Linked DNA regions of Drosophila melanogaster. The gene in region 4 interacts genetically with the main gene of each other region. Each region holds a gene or a part of one and is shown on either strand. Other genes may lie near its edges.

Region 1 (5,004 bases), on a different chromosome or scaffold from region 4:
GAAGTTTGAAATTGATCCATTACTTTGTGATTATAAGCGCCGATAGGAATTTGTTTTTTTTTTTGTTTTCGATTCAGATACAAAAGTTTTTCTGAAATTTTTCTTTTAGCTCGTGGTTGGTTTAGTTATTCAATATTTTAATATTGATCGATTGCAAATGTCGGCAACGAGTGCGACAAGATTTGTCAGAGCCATGGCAATAATAAAGTGACAAATTCATCTGAAAAAATTAATAAATAACAATTTAATATCACTAATTTGCCACATGCATATTTTTAGCACGCACTGTGTGGCTTATATAAAGGCCCCTATCTAAAGGCATTTCATCTTATCAACGTTTTTGTTTTGCTCATAGCAGCAAACAAGAAATTACCAAATATGTATTGTATTATCAATTGAGTTTCAGTGAAATAATTGTGTGTGCTATAATTGAATGCAAGCAGAGGTTTTGCCAAAACCTGGCCATGTTTAGGTATTTCATTAAAAACACGCTCATAAACTACACTTGTATAATTGAAAAACTTGGCATCCTTTTAAATGCAATACGCTTTTATTGGGAAATTTCTCAATATGATTTAAACAACATTTCAGCCCGCCTAAGGGTTAATGTTCCAAGATGAAATCCCAATAGGTTTTAGTTCGAATCTTTCCCTTTTCCGTCTTCTTCTTGGCGCTTTTGTTGTTGCCCTGCCTGCGCTTTAGAGATCGGCATCTCGAATCTCCAATTGGAGTGAGGTTTTTTGTTATTTTCCTTTTGCACTCGGCGAGAAAATGCAGGGCAAAGAGCGAGTCTGATAGCGGGAAGGAGCAAAATGAACGACCCAACAACTAGCCGTACTAATTGGCATACACACATGCCACGCCTCCAACTGCTCCTAAGTGCACACACACACACACACACACACATACACACATGTGCATAAGTTTTTTTGAATTGTTACCGGTGCCAATTTGTTTTTGCGAGTGTATTTATTTGAATTTACTTTTATTCGCGTGAATATGTGTGAGTGCGAGAGAATTAAATCGCCGGCTGAGATAAAATAAAAGTCACTACAACAATAACAACAATGCTATTCACTCGCCTCTCGCTCGCACACGCTTCGCTTTTCGTTTGCTTTGCTTTGCGTTGCCTTTTTTTTCCGTTGTTTCCCCCCCACCCCTCTCCGTTTTTGCACACAACGCTGCGAGGTTAAGTTTGCGATTTTAGGAATTGTACGATTTCTACGGCTTTTCCGACATCGACATCACATTTAGAGGAACGAGAGGTGTTTACCATGCCATTTGGTGTGGCGAGCATATATCTTCCGCTTCCGATCGGATCGGCGATTGTCTTAAACTTTCAGAGGCTGCAACTATAGCTTTTTGTTGTTCTTTTTTTTTTTTCTTTCGCTTTTGTTTCTTTGGGATTTGGGTTTGTGGCGTGGCACTGTCGGCACGACACTTAAGGGTTAAGGTTAAGGGCCAATCGCCATGATTCCCAAATGTGTTTACTTCGGTTTTCCACAGCCGATTTTTGTCTATTTTCACAGTAAAAAAAATATTCACAATATTCACACGAACGCACACACGCAGAAATGGCCTAAAAATATACTGTAAGTTGGTGTAAAAAAAATACCGAAACGAGTGTGCAAAGAAGCCATCTGGCGGAACGATGAGTGCGCTTAACATGCACAGTTGTGTCTGTTAAAGTAGCAGTTTAGCGGTCACTTGTTACTTAGCGTGTGCACCAACCATAGTTATCGGATACTTAAACCGCTCGCCAGCGAGTGCACAACTCGCTCGCTCGCCTATCGAGTACATCAACCAGCAAAGCGAGTACACCCACCAGCCTTAGCGATCACACCCACCTCAATATAAGACGGAACTTATTGGTATTTTTGTGTTATTCTTAGTGATGCTTGTGCTTGGTATAATTGATCGATGGCAGAGCGGTCACATTGGTGCACCTCTGTGGTATTTTTCCACTTTCACACTAGTTTCTTTCAAGCAAGCAAAACCAACGGAACTTTAATTGCGGTGTGCGGCGAACGAGAAGAGAAACCGAAAAGCAGCCAATTTACTGTTGCGTTCCGATCCTGTTAATTCATCAGTTGCCGATTCTCCGATCGCGCCTGTAACTTTTTTGTTTAGTTTAGTGCATCAAGTGCGAGATAACACAGCAAAGCAACAACAAACGAAGCGACAGGCCAAAGCGGACGCGCAAAATACAATAAAAAGGAAGGAAGAAAACGAAGTACGCAAAAAGGAGGAAAGAGAAGCAAAAGCATTTACAGCTAAAGCATTATAGAGTGATTACGCATATTTCGTATGTTGTTCTTCATGATGTCTGCCGTGTGGAAAGATTCTTTCTTTTTATCTGGGTGTATACACCGATGAAATCCCAGAAAGGAATATACACAGGGGTTTTTTGTTTCATAAACAAAATTTGTAAAAGCCGCCAAAAGGCGCCGCTGCCGGCGTTGCAGTCGACGTCGAAGAAAGTGGATGTGTGTGTGTGTGTGTGTATATGTGTGTGAGCAAAGCAAGAGGTGAAAAAAAAACTCAGCAGTGAAATCTTTCTGCTGCTATTTGCTTTGTTGAATATTTAAATGTAAACTAAATAAAAGGTATTGCGCTTGGCATTTTTGTGTGTGTGCTCCATTCAGCAAAATAAAGGAAAGGAGCGGACTGATGAGCACACGGAGAGCGAGAGATAGAGAGAGAGAGAGAAAGAAAAGGAGAAGGGCGGCGAGAGCCTTTTATCAACGGCTATCAGCAGAAATATTTGTTGCCGCACCCCGCTTGACCTTATTCTCTCTCGCTCTCGCTGCCGCTCTCTCCTGCTTTATCGCCCTCTCTTTTTGCGGGGTGTGCAAGGTGCAGTCGCCGCCCGCATTTTGCGCGTTGACTCATACACACAAACACACACACACAAGCAAGCACGCACACGCCCCCATCGCCCCTTTGCTTTTTAAACTTCTCTTTATCCCAATTCCGCTTTGGGATCTCGTTTACGCCGCTCTAAATAACATTTGCCGAATTTTCCCAAGTATTAGTAATAATTTAACATTATACAAATATTATTTAACCAACAGTTAAATACAGTTGAGTTTTTTTTTAAATGACAAGTTTATTAAGCACATTTCTTCATTAATCACATATTTCGAATTTCTAAGAACCTTCTTTGGCACTCGAAAATTGTCGTTTGAAATGCAAGAAAATTCGCAGAAACGGTGTCTGGTTTTAATCTCTGTTATTTTGTGAGATCGCTTTTGATGGCATTCGCTCTGTGGCGTTATTTTCTCACAGTGACCCGTTTTCCGCTACCATCTTTCCCTTTCCCCATTTCTCATTATCTCCACGAACGTGCCGATTTTCGGGTTCTGTTGCTAATCGGAGAACCATTTTGACATTAGCGTTAGATCATCATGATGGTGATCGTTAGTTAATCCGCTTCAACTTTATGCGCATCTGAATGTTCCATCTTTTTATCCAACACGCCTAAAGCAAATGAGGAAAACTGAAAAACGTGACACAGAAAAATGGTTTTACAGTTTCTAATTAGGCTCAAGTTCAAGATCAATTTGAGTGCCAGCTTGTTTTATATTGAATAATTTCATTTATCTATGACTCACTTAATCGTATGTGTTGACCCCTTTCCCCCTTTCACCAACATTTCCTAATTATTTGTTTGTTTGTTTGGTTGCCAAGGGGCGTTAAAAGCTCTCACCAATTGAACGAAATGCGAACGGGGGGAAGTGAATAGCTGAAGTATGTCAAAAAAAAATGCGTTCTCAGTTCCTTTAAAACTGAGTGCTTAAATAATCAATAACTGCTCTTTGTGTAGTTTGCCTTATTATTTACAAAATGCGAAACCAGTTTTGATTTCAGATCGGTCTGTAGAATATGAGCCATTCATATTCCAGAGAAATTTAATCGTTATCAAAAGTGTAAACAAAATCTTACATTATTTGCAAGATATAGCCGAGCAATTTGTTAGCTGTTTCACCTCTGACCTTTTCAAATATAATTCTCTGGCAGGCGAGAATAGATTAACAATAGAGTTGAAAACACTGACTCATAATCTTCACGATCTTTCGCAGTGACACAGTTTTTGGTATATATGTAGTTTTCTCATCTTTTGTTCGGCATCTCCGGCATGTTTGCTAACTTGGCCAGAAGGGAGAAGATAGCGCAAGTCGGCCAACTTAGCCTAATTTATAGCCATCAAGCTGTGATTTGCTCTAATTTCACTTCTAATGGAGTTTTGTCAAGGGAGACAAATCACGGAAATGGGTTCTATTTCTATGTTTCTTCTAGGCCAAGTCCATTATGGCCAACATTAAAGTTTGTTTTCTACGAATAATAATGTTGGCCTAATGCAAAAGTTATACACACTTGATGATAATTGTCCATAATGGCCAAATATGTCTGCCGAATGTCTTCAAAATACGTTTTATATACCTGATTATCAATGAATTGTGCATTAAATACGTGTAATGACTTTGTTATTTTCCAATTAAATGATTAATCGCCCGTTACCAACGATCTACGATATCCGTTTGTAAAGCATTTAACATTTGAAAATCTTGAGATTTCTTCCAACAAACGATTCTTGACAAAGTCGCGCGCGCAATCACATATTTGTTAGCTGACTTTAGTTTGTTACATCATCGTATCAGCATCTCCAAAGTTCTCTCAACACATTTGCCTTATACAGGTTTTATTTGTTTTATGCCCAGGCTCTCAAGTGTTTCCCCATGGCTTTTGTTGTTGCTCCATCGCATTTCAAGATCTTTTATCACAGCTGACTATGCCTAGGTTTTAATTATGCTCTCCTCGCTTCAGAAAACACTTCCCACGCATTGTTCGTACATATATGTACCTATTTTTCATATACCACTCGGTGTGAAATAAGTTTTTAGTTTTTTTTTTTTTTTTTTTTTTAGGTATCGCTATCTGCAAAGGCAGATCAAACTTGCTCGGCCAAATAAAAACACTTTGTAAATGAGTCTGAGCCACGCA
Region 2 (4,816 bases), on a different chromosome or scaffold from region 4:
TCACTTCATGTCGCAATCGGTGAACCAAAGAGCTCCGATGGCATCACATCGCCAGTTTTTGTCGATGACGATGAAGACGATGTCCTGGAGCATCAGTTTGTGGACGAATCAGAAGCAGAAGCGATAGAAAGCGATAGCGCCGATAGCCTGCCATCGATCACCAGGGGATCGTGGCCTTGGCTAGCGGCCATCTATGTGAACAACCTGACCTCCCTGGACTTTCAGTGCGGCGGTTCGCTTGTCTCGGCACGCGTTGTAATCAGCTCGGCGCACTGCTTCAAGTTGTTCAACAAGCGCTACACATCCAACGAGGTGCTCGTCTTTCTGGGCCGCCACAATCTGAAGAACTGGAACGAGGAGGGATCTCTGGCGGCCCCCGTCGATGGCATTTACATTCATCCCGACTTTAACAGTCAGCTGAGCAGCTACGATGCGGATATCGCAGTGATTATACTCAAGGACGAAGTTCGGTGGGTGCCAATATGCCTAAAGCTTACATATTCAAGATTTAGATTCATATCTAAACCGCGATGTGAAATCGAATATGAAGATCATTTATTATATTGACAGTATACCATTATTTTCAACGCAGATTTAACACCTTTATTCGACCCGCTTGCCTGTGGTCTGGTTCCAGCAAAACGGAGTACATTGTGGGCGAGCGGGGCATCGTCATCGGCTGGAGCTTTGACAGAACGAACAGGACGCGGGATCAGAAGCTGTCGTCGGAGCTACCGGGCAAGAAGTCCACCGATGCCAGTGCACCCAAGGTAGTAAAGGCTCCCATTGTCGGCAATGCCGAATGCTTTCGAGCCAATGCCCACTTTCGCAGCCTATCCTCAAACCGAACGTTTTGCGCCGGCATCCAGGCGGAGGAACGAGATACGCATCAGAGCGGGGCGAGCATTTACACCGGTATATCGGGGGCCGGACTTTTCATCCGCCGGAACAATCGCTGGATGCTGCGTGGCACAGTATCAGCGGCCCTGCCCGCCGTAGAGACACCGGATGCGGAATCTAGCCATAAGCTTTGCTGTAAGAATCAGTACATTATATATGCCGACGTGGCCAAGTTTCTGGACTGGATCACGGCCTTTGTAATTTGAATCACATCCGAAATGTGTATGGGAACGCATTTCTAAGTGAGCGCTGTGATAATAGCCCCTTGGGCATGGCGATGGGCAAAAGTTACTCGGAGTAATTAGCGGTTATCGGTTTTTTCTTTTTTTTTTTTTGCTAGTTTCATTACGAAAACTTCTGATTATGGCATTTCAGTTTTATTTTTATCTAAGACAGTAGGGCAATTCAAATAATAAATTATGGCACGGGAAAGCCAAAAAGGAATTTTCCCATAGAATCGCTGCGCTTTTAGATCTCCACCATAATATTAACATTAAAAATCTCGAAATTTGCAATGTTTAAATTCCTCTGACCACATATAGAAAACGTGTATGTTGAAAGAATCACAGGTATGTTTGATATCGAAATTAATTGTAATACAGTAACGTTTACCATGCCTTTGTTATCAGTGTGTTGTTGGCGCTCGTGAACAAAGGAAGCTGCTAATATGCCGGAGTGGGCGGCCTGGCCCGTCTGAGCGGCGTTCACCCATGGACACCTGGACACCCTAATTACCAGCGGCAGACACTGTACTGCGCAAATGCTGACTACTATCAAGCACGTCATCGCACGTCATCAGCCGCAATCGTCGTCATCGCCATCTGGGCCGTTATCTATCTTGCTGGGTTGTTGGGGCATCGACAGCAGTCGTAGCCATCGACTATCAGTTCCGTCCGGACCGTGGCAGCTGGTGCATCACACCTGGGGCTCTGGGCCCGTCGTCTACGGACATTCGCAATCGTTGAAGATCCCCAAACAAGTGCAACGCATTGTATTGTGAACGTGCCCGATAGTTGGTAGTGAATATATTACAGAAATGGCAATATTTGGAGTACATTTCGCGTATTGCAAAGTTCGATTCATCGATTCCCAGAATGCTGGGCGGAGTGGGAGCTCGTCGCCGAAGGGGCTCATCTCCTATGGCGCGATTGACCATTAGCAACATCAACGGTCTGGATGACAATATTGCCATCATCGGCGATGGCGTCATCCGGCGGAGCACGCACTACGGCTCGCAAGGGTCTAACAAAAGGCGCCGGGCTCCGGAAAGTTTTGCTCTTGTCCAGACGCGACCGAATCTAGGCGACCTAATGTGAGTACCACTACCAATTTAAATATAAATTATTTAAACTTAACATTATTTTAAAAGATCAATTGATATTTAGAAAAGTATTGAAAATTGGTAAAAATTCATTATTATTAAAGATAGTATGCAAAGGTAATTGACGAGGGTTATTGAAATGTACAGAGATAAAATTAAGTCTGAAATAGAGTAAAATATGTTGTTTGTTTTATATATTAATTAATTAGGTCAAGTATGAGAGCGCCTTTGATCATTTGTAATTCGGTTAAAGCCGGGTTTTCAAATAACCGATATCTTGATGCAAAAGTTTTTACTACAAGGGGTTGAAAGTATTCTTAAAGCTTAAAGCTTTATCAACAATTGTGGCAGTAGTAAATCAATTACTTAAATCAATTAAAAAAAAAACTCTTAGAATGGGTAAGTAGCTTAAACTTCGTCGCTTCGCTTTTTTTTTAAACTTTAGCAGTATGATTTAAGCCCGGATTTTAAAACCGCGATTTCTCGAAAGTTCGATAGTTTTGTTCCCAAGGGGTGAAGAGCAAGCGGAGCTTAAAGCTCAATCGACGACTGTAACGGTCCTAGGAGCGGGTTTCCTTGGAGGACACGCATGCGCTCTCCTCCGCACTGGCTGGCCAGTGTGTCCACCTCCGATTGTCCGATTGAGCTTGAACTGAAGCTTGGACCAGAGCTTTCGGGCGGATGCAGAGCGCAGGGCTGGTAGATTTTTTTCCCCATATTTTTGCCCTTTGTGCGTGTGTTTGGACCCTGGCGATGTGGTAGTATGTGATACAAAGTCGCCGAGTTGAAGTCTTGCGTTTTGTTGAGTTTTTCGTCCAACTGGTGAGACAAAGTCGGTGGTGACAGCTCCCGTAGAAGCGGTTTTTGTTTTTTATTTTTAACTCGGGACCCAGTCAATTTAACAGCAAATGTGCGACAACTAAAATGTGGCTGAATACAGAAGCCTGGCGTTAAAGAAATCAAGTGAAAATCACTCGCAATGCGGGGTTAAAAGTGCTGTGAAAATTCCACATTTCGAATGTTGTGTGCGCTGGCATCCGAATTCGGGTCGAGTGGTGAAAATAACACTACAAACATCCAAACCAAGAACAAGAAATATAGTCGGAAAAGCGTGAAAATCGTGAAAAATCGTGAAAAACCCAATGGCAAAACGTCGAATTGGCGACAATGGCGGCGAGGACAGCAAAAATAGCAAGAAAAGATATCGGGAAACCAAGTGAAAAGCATTATTCGGGCTTACTGAAGCCAATAAACGACCTCTGATTGTGCTCCTCCAGGCAACCAGATCTAATTTTTATTTTTAGCCACATTCATATACATATATATATGCGTTCGTTTCAAATCCCAATTACCGAAGCTATCCTTAAAAACCAGTTGTAAAAGTTAAAGTTAACAAGCCCCACGAACGCACCACACACACACCAACACACCCGCACGAATATACATATCCATATACATATACATATACATATACATATATATGTATAGCCATATATATATACATAGTTGTTGGGATTGGGTCAGCGGGTCGGTAGCACAACGGGCGGAATGTTGCGTCGGTGGTGCTATATATTGCGGTGGATGGAAGTGGAAGTGGATGTGGCAAGAGGCAAGTGGAAAAGCAAAGGCGAAAGGAAAAGCTAAAGCCAAAGCTAAAGCTGAAGGAGAAGGAAAAGGAGATATGGAGTTTTCGGGTGTTTTTTAGCCTATCGGTATATCGTTTATTTTTGTGACGTGTACACGCACTTTCGAGGTGAATGAATTGCGGCGATGTAGCAGGAAGCACCCCCCAAATTAATATTTAAATTAACTATATTCTCAGTCCACACAAATATTTACTAGTCGTAAATTCCCCAACCCACACACACACATACAAATCTACACATGTATATGTTTTCCATACCGGAAACGAATTCTAATGATGGTTCTCCTCTCTTCACGGAAGTGAAAAATTTGTTTGTCTCTGTTCTTTTAACAATGCTCATATGAATACTCGTATGGGGAATTGAATGCGAGCATATGAACAAATATTGTGGTAGTCGTGTGCTCTGTAACTAAACTTATAACGACATATCAAATTTCAGTTAGTTGGTTCTTTAAGCCCAATTAAAAGTGTAACAGTTTCCAGAAAAAAAGAAATAACAAAAAGCGTTAGTTTAGAGGGGGCAACGATGGCAAGTGTGTCATTGTTGCTGTTTATTTTTGGCAATTACAGGTTCGTTGGTCTCACTGTGGCCCGATTGTAGTTAGACACACAGATATATATAGCTTCTGCCCATTCCAAAAACCCAAAATCGTTCCGAAAGACATCGTCAACATAAAAAAAAAAAAAATTTCAGACAACTGTGCCTGGTGACGTCACTAGGGAAAATAGAGCTGGAACTATACAATTGCAATAAATAACAAGAATTGCTTTTAAAGAAAAGACATTGCTTTGCGCAATTGAAAATGAACTATTCAAAATAGGGCAATAGTTAATTTAAATGCAAATGCAACCAGATTTACTGGGCCCTTAAAAGTAGGCAAGCGATTTGTGGTTGCGATGTTATCGTTATCGGTGTGACCCAGTGATTGTTGAAACCAAAGAGAAAGAGT
Region 3 (7,554 bases), on a different chromosome or scaffold from region 4:
TACTAAATGTTAACGCAAGTAAATAGTAATGTATGTGATAACTTTCAGTTGTGGCTCTATTTTTGGACCTAAATACTTTCGTGACGTAGAGATTTTAGGAGGAACTGGCTAGGTGATTGATCTGATGTTAAGGGTGGCGATGTCTTCTCTTTGTTATTACGCAATTTGAAATTATGAAAAAATGAATAATTGGCAAATGGTTGTGTAATAAGAGGCAGCATAAGTAGTGTTTTGCCGATTGATGAAATGATTCAAAATGCATTTGAATTCAATATATTTTGCCTGTTTTTACTTTAATATCCCTTTTTTATAAAGGAAGATTGGCCAGAGCATTATGCAATAAAAGTTATCATTTATAAGGCAATTAAGTGTTAAAAAACATTATTTTGCAGTTTGTATTTGTTTTTAAATGATCACTTCGCTTGATTGCTTGAGATTGCTGGAATCTGGAACCATTACCATATACCGAGTTCCTAAATAGACAATATCCAGCGGTTGACAACCGCATCAAACCCAGATTTGCCAGTCCCAAAATAAATCAAAATTCCTGGCTGCATTGTCATTTATCAACATTTTTAAATATACACATAGGTAGCTTATAAAAGTTCTGGCCTAGACATATAGAGGTAAAATAGTAGCCAAATGCATATTTATGGGGGTCTCTGTGAAAAGTCGTAATAGCTGCTGCACAAGGCGGATGGCTGATGGCGGATATCATACGGCAGAAACGTGTGCGGAGAGCGCTCTTGCCAATATCTGAGAGTCCGAGTCCGTAGGGGCATTACAAGCCTATAAATAAAAATAGTCGACGGCTGCCAGTCTCTGCTGAAATTGGGGAAAAAGGCAGAAAAGCCAAACGAAGAACTAGGGGTTCGCAGGCCGACTGGTGGATGCTCTTTCAGCTGTTAATGGATCGAGATCAACTAGATTGAGGAAATGAGTATTTGGGCTGGGATTTGGGATCTGTTGTATTTGCCAAGGACAAGTAAAATATTCAAAGGGCAGCAGCTATGGATAACTATGATGGATTCTAGCTCGGCGAAAGTGGAATGCGTCAGTGCCAGTGCCATCATTCCCAACCATCCCCCCACCAAAGGACCCAAGTCTTGACCCACTTGAAGTGGCTGACACCGAAGGTAGAAACACCTTTGAGTGACAAACCCTTCCACACAACCCAGCATAATTTCCCCAGATTGGTTTAAAAATACCACTTTCTAAATATTAGACAAACACACGTGCATTTCTCGGAATACGTCTGCACTCACACTCCCAGGCACATCCACATCCACAACCACATCCACGTCCACAAGTGATCTCGCATCGCCACATTGCCATTGCTCTAGACTTTCGTGGCCGTGCGCTCCCGCGGATCCGAGATCGGGCGGCCATATGTACGTATGTATGTATGTGGATGGGGAGCTCGTGTGCCCGTGGTATTGTGGTATTCCCACCTATACCTAGCCACATATACGAATCTCTGGGGGACCACGGTGAATCTGCCTCGTCGAGGTACGAACGAGCTGCACGAGCAGATCTGAACCGCCACCATTCGAATTCGGATCGCATTGGATTGGATTGGATAGGTGGTAAGTGCTCAAAAGTTTGTGCGTGCTAAAAGTATTTTCCCGGGCCAAAATAGAGAGTGTATGTAGTTTTGGGAATTTTGCCAAAATATATGAATTTTGTAATTCAAATAGACACTCTCATCGCGCAGCGTTCTCCTTGCGTTCAGTTGCCGTTGATCGTTATAATAGCGCGATCTTTGTGTCTTGGTCTTCCGACTGAAATAAATTATTATATAATAACGGAATTTTTGCTAGGAATAATAATTGTAAGTTTTGTTGATTTTCTGCAACAACTGCAAAGCGAATACGCCAGTGAATTACTCCAAACTGCCAAAACCATTGGGTAAAGCAAATAAACCCCCCTAAAAACTATCGAAAATTCGTCCGCGCGCTTTCAAAAGAAAAGAAAACCTGGAAACCAAAAGTTATTGAAATGCCTACATATCTACATACGAACATGCTTCTTACACTCGAAAACCGTGCTTCAAACTCAAAGTGTTTGCCCCCAGTTTACTTTGCCACCCTGGAGCTCGTCCAGAGCTCGTAGTTCGATCTATCTACATACATGAAATATCCGTAAGGGCGACGATTCGGCGGTGACCTCGACCTCCGGATGGTATCGAAAATTTGAATGTCACCAATACGAGAGCACTCCACGAATAGATTCGATCCGACACAGATGTAAAGTTTTCCAAGTGCCCGAGATCTATGTATCTGTGATTGAAAATCTGGTTATGCAACCACAACCGCAACCGTGGCGAATATATTCGTACCCAAATTCGAAAGATCCATGTCTTGTACTGTACCTGTAGCCCTTGTAACAAGCATAGAACACACGATCTCTTGAACTCCTTAACTACCCGCATTCATAGCTTAATGGTGGTTACATCGGTTAGTGAATTTGACTGCCTTTCAGTTGCAAAAGATCCCTGAAACCAACAGACAGTTTTACAGAAACGTGTAGCTCTATAAGTACATTCAGCCCAGGATCATGGCCCAATCATTTGTACTTATTTTTGAACCCACCCACCCACTATTATACAACCCATCGGTGGACTTGTCAATCAGAAATTCGGATTCGGGGACGTGGGAAGCAGCATATCGCACAAGTGTCGACATCCATTAGCATGGAGATATCTCTGCTCGCAATATCATAAGCCGTTAAATCGTACATATAACCGCGCAGAATAGGAATCTTTCTCCCTACGATCGTCTCTCTGTATATGTACTCAAACTTATTTATGTGGTCCTAGTACATATCTTTATATCTACGAGTGTTCAGAATTGAGCTGTATTTTTCGGGTGCTAGGACTCTATTTTTAGCCCATCTCGGACAGAGGCGATTTTTTGCTCCATAATGCACACACACATGTGTATTTTAGGGGTATATATAGGCTATATGCATGAAGATGTTTTCGAAACACACGTCTCTGTGCTCAAAATATAAGTAGTATTCGAGCGCATTGATTGACAGTTTTTTGAAAACTAACGCCTTTTGTGGGCGGGCAACTGGTGGAAACCTCGTTATCAGAAGTTACGTATGTAATTCTGTGACGTAGCCAGCGTAATATTCAAGTATTATGCGAGTTGGCTGCCGTTCAAAATTCCCCGTATGGCCTGATTCTAGTGTCTGGTCGCGAAAAAGATTAAAATTAAAATTTAAAAATGTCGCTGCTGGCGAATACCTGGCACCCAGATCTATTTATTGCGGGCTCTTGATCTCGATCTCATTAATTTGAGCACAAAATGCGCGAAAAGAATAGTGTTGCTTGTTGTGTGGCCAAAATAGTGCGGATGTCTCTGTCGCTTGCCAAGTGAAAATATGACAATGTATAAATAAGTTTAAGCATTCGTGATAAGGATTTCAGTTCGATTTACACCACAGAAGGGAGTAAAAACATTTGGTTTTCGATCGCAATAACAACTTGATTTATAAGGTTAGAGGTATTTTCCAATAAAGAAACTTTCCAGCACAGCTGAATTCCTTCGAAACTTTGATTAGTTTTAAATTCCTATATCACCTCAGCTATCGGTATTACTGAACACGGAAACTCAACAGTTAGCCATCGCAGTTGAGATTCTCAGTTATCGATAACGCCGGCTATCGCAGTTTAGTAGCACAAATTGAACGCGTCAGTAGAAGCTGAGCTAAAAGGTGGGATAATTATCTAATAATTGCCAGGACTGAGAATTCTTAAAAGTTGGAGAAAGAGGCAGCTCTGCACAAATAACGTAACTCGGACGATATACGTTTTCAGTCAGCCCTGTCTTGTGCGAATAATGTCGTGTCATAGTGAGGCAGAACGGCGATAGGCAGTAAATCGCGGCTTGGTACTTAGTGCAATAGTTATCAGCACACATATTCAGAAAAAAGCGCCATGGGTTATATTATATAGAGAGTCAGTGGAAAAAAGTACTTAACACACGCAGTGCGTCGTTTAGCGAGGTTAACGTAGGAGCAGAGCACCCGTATTACGGACCAGATCCCCCAATCCCCCGCAGAAACTGAGAATAGAAAAACGAAAACTGCGTCTGTTGTGCGAAGTGACACGTGTGTGAATCTCATAAGCGGAGCGATTTGGCCAGGGTAACAGCCCATCATAGTAATGCAATATTCCAGCATATTCTCCGACCCGATCCGCACAATCCGATCCTAAGTTGGCGCGATAACTGCGCGACTTTAGTGGCCAGTCCGGGCCCGATCAGAAGTGCCTGAAATCGGGGAATTAGCATGTAGCACCTGTGTATGTGCGTATGTTGGAAAGTACCCGTGAGCCGAGTGCCGTGCACATGCACATGTACGACCACTTATTCAGAACCTAATGAGGTAGTTTTAACTGCAAACGTACATGCCAGTACAGATGTATGTGCATACATACGTGCATACACACTTGCTATTCCAGTCAGTCGTTGAATAGAGCCCAGAAAACGGCAAAATAGCTAAATAGCCCTGCCAGAGAATTAAAATGAGCCCCTTGCCTTGTGTCTACTTTCAAATCCCCACCTGAATCGCCCCGGAATCTGGACACAGGCCACTGAACGAAGAGGATAACGAATCAAGATGGAAGACGGTCACTCGAAAACCGTCGAACAGTCCCTCAACTTCTTCGGAACGGACCCCGAGCGCGGCTTAACCCTCGACCAGATCAAGGCTAACCAGAAGAAATACGGACCCAATGGTGAGAGTCGCGCGTAATTCCCCTCCACATTCCGAGACCGAATCGACTGACGTGTTTGTTTTCTTATCGTTACAGAGTTGCCGACTGAGGAAGGTGCGAACACAACCCGAGCAGATCCCCTGCCCCCCACCCCCACTTCACTGTATGCATACATTATAATAACGATTGTATTCCACAGGAAAGAGCATCTGGCAGCTGGTCTTGGAGCAGTTCGACGATCTGCTGGTGAAGATTCTGCTGTTGGCAGCCATCATCTCATTTGTAAGTGCAGCAGCACAAAGAAACCCACCCTCAAAAACTTAGTTACGACCACACTCTTCCCCTCTGCAATCCCCAGGTTCTCGCCCTGTTTGAGGAACACGAGGAAACGTTCACTGCATTTGTAGAGCCCCTAGTTATTTTACTTATCCTGATAGCCAACGCCGTGGTGGGAGTATGGCAGGAGCGTAACGCCGAGTCGGCCATTGAGGCCCTCAAGGAGTACGAGCCTGAGATGGGCAAGGTGGTGCGCCAGGACAAGTCCGGCATCCAGAAGGTGCGCGCGAAAGAGATCGTGCCCGGTGACCTGGTTGAGGTGTCTGTCGGTGACAAGATCCCTGCCGATATCCGTATCACCCACATCTACTCGACCACCCTTAGGATCGATCAGTCCATCCTCACCGGTGAGTCGGTCTCCGTCATCAAGCACACCGATGCCATCCCCGATCCCCGCGCCGTCAACCAGGACAAGAAGAACATCCTGTTCTCCGGCACCAACGTCGCAGCCGGCAAGGCCCGTGGCGTCGTCATCGGCACTGGCCTGAGCACCGCCATCGGCAAGATCCGTACTGAGATGTCCGAGACCGAGGAGATCAAGACCCCCCTGCAGCAGAAACTGGACGAGTTCGGTGAGCAGCTGTCCAAGGTCATTTCCGTCATTTGCGTTGCCGTGTGGGCCATCAACATCGGCCACTTCAACGACCCCGCTCACGGAGGCTCCTGGATCAAGGGTGCCATCTACTACTTCAAGATCGCCGTCGCTCTGGCTGTGGCTGCCATCCCCGAGGGTCTGCCCGCCGTCATCACCACCTGTCTGGCTCTGGGCACCCGCCGCATGGCCAAGAAGAATGCCATCGTCCGCTCCCTGCCCTCCGTGGAGACCCTGGGCTGCACATCTGTCATCTGCTCTGATAAGACCGGCACACTCACCACCAACCAAATGTCCGTTTCCCGCATGTTCATCTTCGACAAGGTTGAAGGCAACGACAGCAGCTTCCTCGAATTCGAGATGACCGGCTCCACCTACGAGCCCATCGGCGAGGTCTTCCTCAACGGTCAGCGCATCAAGGCTGCTGACTACGATACCCTGCAGGAACTGTCCACCATCTGCATCATGTGCAACGACTCCGCCATTGATTACAATGAGTTCAAGCAGGCCTTCGAGAAGGTCGGCGAAGCCACTGAGACCGCCCTGATTGTGCTGGCTGAGAAACTGAACAGCTTCAGCGTGAACAAGTCTGGCCTGGACCGCCGCTCGGCTGCCATCGCCTGCCGCGGTGAGATCGAAACCAAGTGGAAGAAGGAATTCACCCTGGAGTTCTCTCGCGATCGTAAATCCATGTCCTCGTACTGCACCCCCCTGAAGGCTTCCCGCCTGGGCACTGGCCCCAAGTTGTTCGTGAAGGGCGCCCCCGAGGGTGTTCTAGAGCGTTGCACACACGCCCGCGTTGGCACCACCAAGGTTCCTCTGACCTCGGCCCTGAAGGCCAAGATCCTCGCCCTGACCGGCCAGTACGGTACTGGACGCGACACCCTTCGCTGCCTGGCTCTGGCCGTTGCCGATAGCCCCATGAAGCCCGACGAGATGGATCTGGGCGACTCCACCAAGTTCTACCAGTATGAGGTTAACCTGACCTTCGTCGGTGTTGTGGGCATGTTGGATCCCCCCCGTAAGGAAGTTTTCGATTCCATTGTCCGCTGCCGTGCCGCCGGTATTCGTGTTATTGTGATCACCGGCGACAACAAGGCCACTGCCGAGGCTATCTGCCGCAGAATCGGTGTATTCGCCGAGGATGAGGACACCACTGGCAAGTCCTACTCGGGTCGTGAATTCGACGACCTTTCCCCCACCGAACAAAAGGCTGCCGTCGCCCGCTCCCGCCTCTTCTCCCGCGTGGAGCCCCAGCACAAGTCCAAGATTGTTGAGTTCCTGCAGAGCATGAACGAAATCTCCGCTATGACTGGTGATGGTGTGAACGACGCCCCCGCCCTGAAGAAGGCTGAGATCGGTATTGCCATGGGCTCTGGTACCGCCGTCGCCAAGTCTGCCGCCGAAATGGTGCTGGCTGACGACAACTTCTCCTCCATCGTGTCTGCCGTTGAAGAAGGTCGCGCTATCTACAACAACATGAAACAGTTCATCCGCTACCTCATCTCTTCGAACATTGGTGAGGTCGTCTCCATCTTCCTTACTGCTGCCCTTGGCCTGCCCGAGGCTCTGATTCCCGTCCAGCTGCTCTGGGTTAACTTGGTACGTCTTGATGGGGTATTTACTACTTAAAATGGTTAGTAATAGGTACTTGGTCACAGGTTACTGATGGTCTCCCAGCCACCGCTCTGGGCTTCAACCCCCCTGATCTGGATATCATGGAGAAGCCCCCCAGGAAGGCCGATGAGGGTCTCATTTCCGGATGGTTGTTCTTCCGGTGGGTTACTCAAAAAGCACACATCCTTTAATCGGTATTAACTTGGCCTCAATCGAACTTTTAGTTACATGGCTATTGGATTCTATGTCGGCGCTGCCACCGTCGGTGCCGCCGCCTGGTGGTTCG
Region 4 (4,577 bases):
GTTGCCAAATAGTAGACAATATTGTAAATCACTTAGCTCAACTAAAGACCATCAATAATTAAAAAGATAATTATGATTATAAATCTTAGCTTTCTAATAACCAAACCCCTACAAACTCCTTCTATATATCATTCTGCAAACCTGGTTCATAACAACAAAACGCATTTAAAGTAATATTGTATAATTATAGTTCAATTTGCACATTTAAGCACTCTTTCGCTCTAAGAGCTCCAGTTGGTTAGCTCATGGATATTGGATTCTGCTGGCGCATTACCGCTTGTCATCATCCCATTTCCGAATCATTTCCCCTTAAATTATGGAAATGAATCGAACCAGGTCGGGTTAAACACAGATACGAGTATGTGAGCAGCTTCAAGCGATGGAGGAATGGTCGGAAATGAGCAGGTAATTGCATTTGGCCACCGACTTACCCGATTCTCGATGAGCTTGTCGCACACATTGAAGACCGTCTTGATGGGATTCTTGTCCATGCGGATGGTTTTGTCGTAGTAGGTGACCTTCCGCGGCACATACTGCTGATCGAAGTTGAGGTGCTGCGGTTGGATGGGAAAGCGTGATTATCGCATTCGGATTAGTGGAGCATCCAGTTAGTCAATGGGCTTGCCTTTATTGTGGTGCTAAAGTGCTCCTCGCTGTCGGAATTGCTCAGTACGCCGCCAATGTTGTACGTCGAGGGATTATCCGAGGCAGTGTGCCTCTGGGCGGCATCAATTGGCGCCACCAGGAGAACAATGGCGAGCCCAAACAATGGCCGGCAAAAAACAAACTCAGCCATAGCCATGATGCGGAAGTCTATAGTTTCTGGGGGAGGATAAACGAGGTGTTTTGTGCAACGATTTCAATGGTTTCTCGAGCAAACATCCAGCATTTTCTGCAAGTCGAAAAGGGGAGATGCCGCATATTAATGGCATTTTCCATTTCCCATTGCAGCAATGAGAATGGTCAAAGACAAGATTTCTTAAAGTTTATTTTGCTCATTTTTGAAAAAGCAGAACTTTGAATTCGCGGTGTTTTCTTACATATGTGGTAATGCCAGATCGCGAAAAAATGAATACCAACGCAAGATCGTTAGAGTGACCATTTCATTGTGTTAATAGGCATTAGAAGCAAAATCTAAGTATGTGAGTCGATGAGTGGAAAGATTTTAATCCTCGGCCAATCTATCAACATTGATCTGGAATTTTCAAGCACAGATGACTAAAAAACTATGAATATTTGAATAAGATTCAAATCTCTACCCTGTGCTGCCATGCTAACTAGTATTTAGAGTATGTTAGTATTTTATCCATGCGCTCCCATCTAATTTATCATATGGTTGGTTCTGCGGTTTTCAAACACTTGCTTATGTCATTCCTTGTCAATAGTAAATGCAATTAACGTGTTACTGTCAATAATTCTATATATGTGTGCATAAAACAGTTAAGATGTCAATTACACCATTTATTAACGGCTAACTAGTATTTTTCGCGCGGTCACACTAATCGATCATATGGTTCGACGGTTTTTAAACACTTGTTGCTCGACCGCGCTTTCAGTCGGACGTGTTTTCGCTGGGGTTTTCCGCGTCGGTCCGCCTTATCTGCGCTGCGCTGGCACTTCGTTGGAGTGAGGGAGACGGAGGAGCTGAGCGGTACGGTACACGAAGTCGCGCATGACGCGGCGCTCTGGAAAATTGCATTTTCATACGCCTTGAGCGCGTAATTTATGCCCGAAATGCTGGCCAATTTCAATTTGTTGGCCTAAACGCGACGTGCGTGTGTGGGTGTGTGTGCGTGATTGGGAAAAGTGCGTAGAAATCGACAATCGTTTTGTTTGCCCGCGCTGCTGCTGCGCTGCGACTGCGCTGCTTGTGGGTGGTCAACGGGATCGTGGGGTCGGGAGAGCCGATTGTTGACGTTGTATCGCATGCTGCCTCTCTTTCCCGCAGCCGGAATTGTTTGTCGCGTGTTTTAACGGTTATTTCTTATTGACAAAACCTCCTCTGCCGACGTCGCTGCCCCGGCATTGTTATTGTTATTGTGTGTGGTTTCTGGGCCTTCTTCTTCCTCCTCACCGTATTCCCACTTATTGTTATTCTCTCTTTTCCGCGGCTAAGTGCGGCCCACTCAAGGTGAAAATATATTAAGTTCTTTCGAGTGCCCGCGAGTGTTTGCATTTGAATAAAATAAATATAAAGTCAAATTCGATTTACGATCGTCGTCTATCGACGGATGATTCAATACCAATCACAATACAGTAGCACATCTCTACAAGGGATATTTTACATTACATACATTCTACGGTGAGTATCCCACGACAACGACAACGACAACCTGTTGCCAATCGAGCCCAGTTACTGGTTTTTCTGGTTTCCCGAAGGGCTTGCCACCAATTTAAGTAGGTCATAAGGCAATAAGCCTATCACGACCGAACCGATAGGCTAATTACCGCGATAGCTATTATCTAGCAGTCACGCCCTCGCCTTTTGATCCCACTTGATTTTGATTTCGTTCTTGCCTCTTGCTTTCGCTCAATAATTGACAATAAGCCAAAGCGAAAGGGCCAGAAATGCGCTGAGATTCAATTACGTTGCAGTGGCCACTATTTGTTGCTTACACGAATAGAAAAGCTAAGGAAAAAACATATAAATCCCACTGATTGAAGACATTTGCTTATCGGGGGTATGGTTCTATGCCAGCTACTCAAACAAAATATAAATAAATCCTTAGGGAATCAACTCCGAAGTCAAGTGTTGATTTCAACTCAAGCCACTATGTATATGAACGTGATGCTTTCCAAAATTGTTTTGTGGTGAGAGGGATTGTTTGTTGTTATACAAAAATTCTTCAAATGGGAGTGTTTAAGAATTATAATGACGAAGTAACATAGTCATAATTAAAACTCGTATTTACTCGTAGAGTGAAAGGGTATACCGGATACATATATTATTGATCAGATCGAGATTTCGGGATCTATAAAATCTAGATGTGCAAGTTTAATTCACAACGTCCGCGCCCACTCTAACGCCCACAAACCGTTCAAAACAGTCACGCCCACAGTTTCGAGAAAAGTTTGGATTTTTTTAATCCTAATATTTCTTTGTCAGTTCCTAAAGTTATGCAAATCACTTTTGGAAATTTCTCACTTGACGTCCTCTGAACTGAATGCATCTGCGTTCGAGAAAATCAACTTAGCGCCGATATTTTCTCTCAGTGCACACATCTTGATTGCAGACAGCGGAAAAGAGAGAGAGAGCGAAAGGGAGAGAGAGAAAGAGAGATGCTGACTGGGCGACGCGTGCTTAATTAAGCGCCACATTGTTGTTGGTGTTGACTGGGCAGGTGGCGAGCTATAGAGTAAGAGGCAAGATGAGGGATACCAAAAAAGATGGGGGAGGGGGATGAAAAGTGGACGTGTTGAGCCTGCTGCACGCGATGATTTCCATTACCTGGGGTAAAAAAATGGCTTTTCATCGCCAAATTCCTCTCTGGCCAAGTTTTTTTGTTGCGATTGAAAGAGCGCACTTCACTACTTCTTGATTTGCATGTAATCATGATTGGGTTAATGGGCCTATGATCACACAATTACGATCAATTATATTCACATTATAATGTCGAACAAATTACTAAATTATACAATCAATGGGACCAATAGATAGTATGTGCAGTGAGTTTCATTTATTGAAGATAACCAGTCAATTGAGATGTCATTTGCGGGTACTTTGATCAACCGGCTAGAAAATGTACATATATATTCTAATTTTTAAACGCTAGTTCGGTATAGTATTAAAATTTTTTTGATTATTATGTTTTTGTGCAATTATATATGTATATTTAAAAAAAAAAGTTGGAACTTGACAACTATTTTCTCTTTAACCACGATTCAGATGTCATCAATTTTAATATAAAGAGTTAAAAAATTCACAATTTGTTTTTGTTATTCTCTCAGAATCCCTCAACTGTAGTTGATAATTCTCCAAAAGTTGTCGTATAATTGCATTTGACATACTGATAACGTTTGTGCATGATTTTTAATCAATAAATTTTACCAACCAGCCAAATTTGTTCAGTTTTGCCACTTGTCACCATTTAAACAAACTGACCACAAAGATATTACATTAAATAAATAAAACACATTGAAGATTCTCAGGTATGCTTATTTTTTTGACCACAATCGTGTGTTTGCTCCAATTTATGTGGGCTTGCCATGAGCATGTGCATAATTCGAAGCTGAATTGAGCAGCTGGTGGGGATTTTGTGGAAGGGGGGGCGGTAAAGTGGCCGGGGTTGGCGCCTGGGAGCGCCAGCAATTAACATAAACAGGCAAATTGTGTAAGCGACATTCTGGAGCTGCAAATAAAATATAAGCGCCCGCCCCCCGCCCATCCGATGTGCACAGCCCACTTGGCTGCAATTATTAAGGGTGTGTGTGTGTTTGTTCGGATGCGGAGGTCGGGTGTTATCAATGAAGCAGACTGGATGAGAAGCAAAGTGTTCTCATCAGCGCCAGTCTGGTGTGATTGTGTGAGTATCTGTGTGCTTCACGTTTTTTCTGCTCAGGTGGGCCGAGGTCTCTTG

What was found.
Region 1: of Itpr (region 4) and Rala, changing one suppresses a phenotype caused by changing the other (phenotypic suppression), as found in Drosophila melanogaster (one study listed by BioGRID).
Region 2: of Itpr (region 4) and cac, changing one suppresses a phenotype caused by changing the other (phenotypic suppression), as found in Drosophila melanogaster (one study listed by BioGRID).
Region 3: of Itpr (region 4) and SERCA, changing one suppresses a phenotype caused by changing the other (phenotypic suppression), as found in Drosophila melanogaster (2 studies listed by BioGRID).

Annotation. Positions count from the first base shown.
Region 1 is NC_004354.4:3,716,592-3,721,595, reverse strand, and holds the start of Rala (Ras-like protein A), read left to right. Parts: upstream 1-1,960; 5' UTR 1,961-2,233; intron 2,234-4,928; exon of another isoform or gene 4,929-5,004.
Region 2 is NC_004354.4:11,982,073-11,986,888, reverse strand, and holds the start of cac (cacophony), read left to right. Parts: upstream 1-1,801; 5' UTR 1,802-1,994; coding exon 1,995-2,212; intron 2,213-2,973; exon of another isoform or gene 2,974-3,053; intron 3,054-4,816. Other genes in the region: gd (gastrulation-defective), read left to right, coding at 1-470, 593-1,106. UniProt on the Drosophila melanogaster protein: Voltage-sensitive calcium channels (VSCC) mediate the entry of calcium ions into excitable cells and are also involved in a variety of calcium-dependent processes, including muscle contraction, neurotransmitter release, gene expression, cell motility, cell division and cell death.
Region 3 is NT_033778.4:23,929,857-23,937,410, reverse strand, and holds the start of SERCA (Sarco/endoplasmic reticulum Ca(2+)-ATPase), read left to right. Parts: upstream 1-1,526; 5' UTR 1,527-1,586; intron 1,587-1,730; exon of another isoform or gene 1,731-1,831; intron 1,832-3,326; exon of another isoform or gene 3,327-3,502; intron 3,503-3,670; exon of another isoform or gene 3,671-3,720; intron 3,721-3,966; exon of another isoform or gene 3,967-4,596; 5' UTR 4,597-4,626; coding exon 4,627-4,744; intron 4,745-4,819; coding exon 4,820-4,837; intron 4,838-4,922; coding exon 4,923-5,005; intron 5,006-5,081; coding exon 5,082-7,253; intron 7,254-7,312; coding exon 7,313-7,428; intron 7,429-7,492; coding exon 7,493-7,554. UniProt on the Drosophila melanogaster protein: This magnesium-dependent enzyme catalyzes the hydrolysis of ATP coupled with the transport of calcium.
Region 4 is NT_033777.3:5,515,587-5,520,163, forward strand, and holds the start of Itpr (inositol 1,4,5,-trisphosphate receptor), read left to right. Parts: upstream 1-1,530; 5' UTR 1,531-2,302; intron 2,303-4,577. Other genes in the region: Nmdar1 (NMDA receptor 1), read right to left, coding at 432-554, 626-802. UniProt on the Drosophila melanogaster protein: Receptor for inositol 1,4,5-trisphosphate, a second messenger that mediates the release of intracellular calcium. Together with MCU, has a role in oxidative stress-induced ER-mitochondria calcium transfer.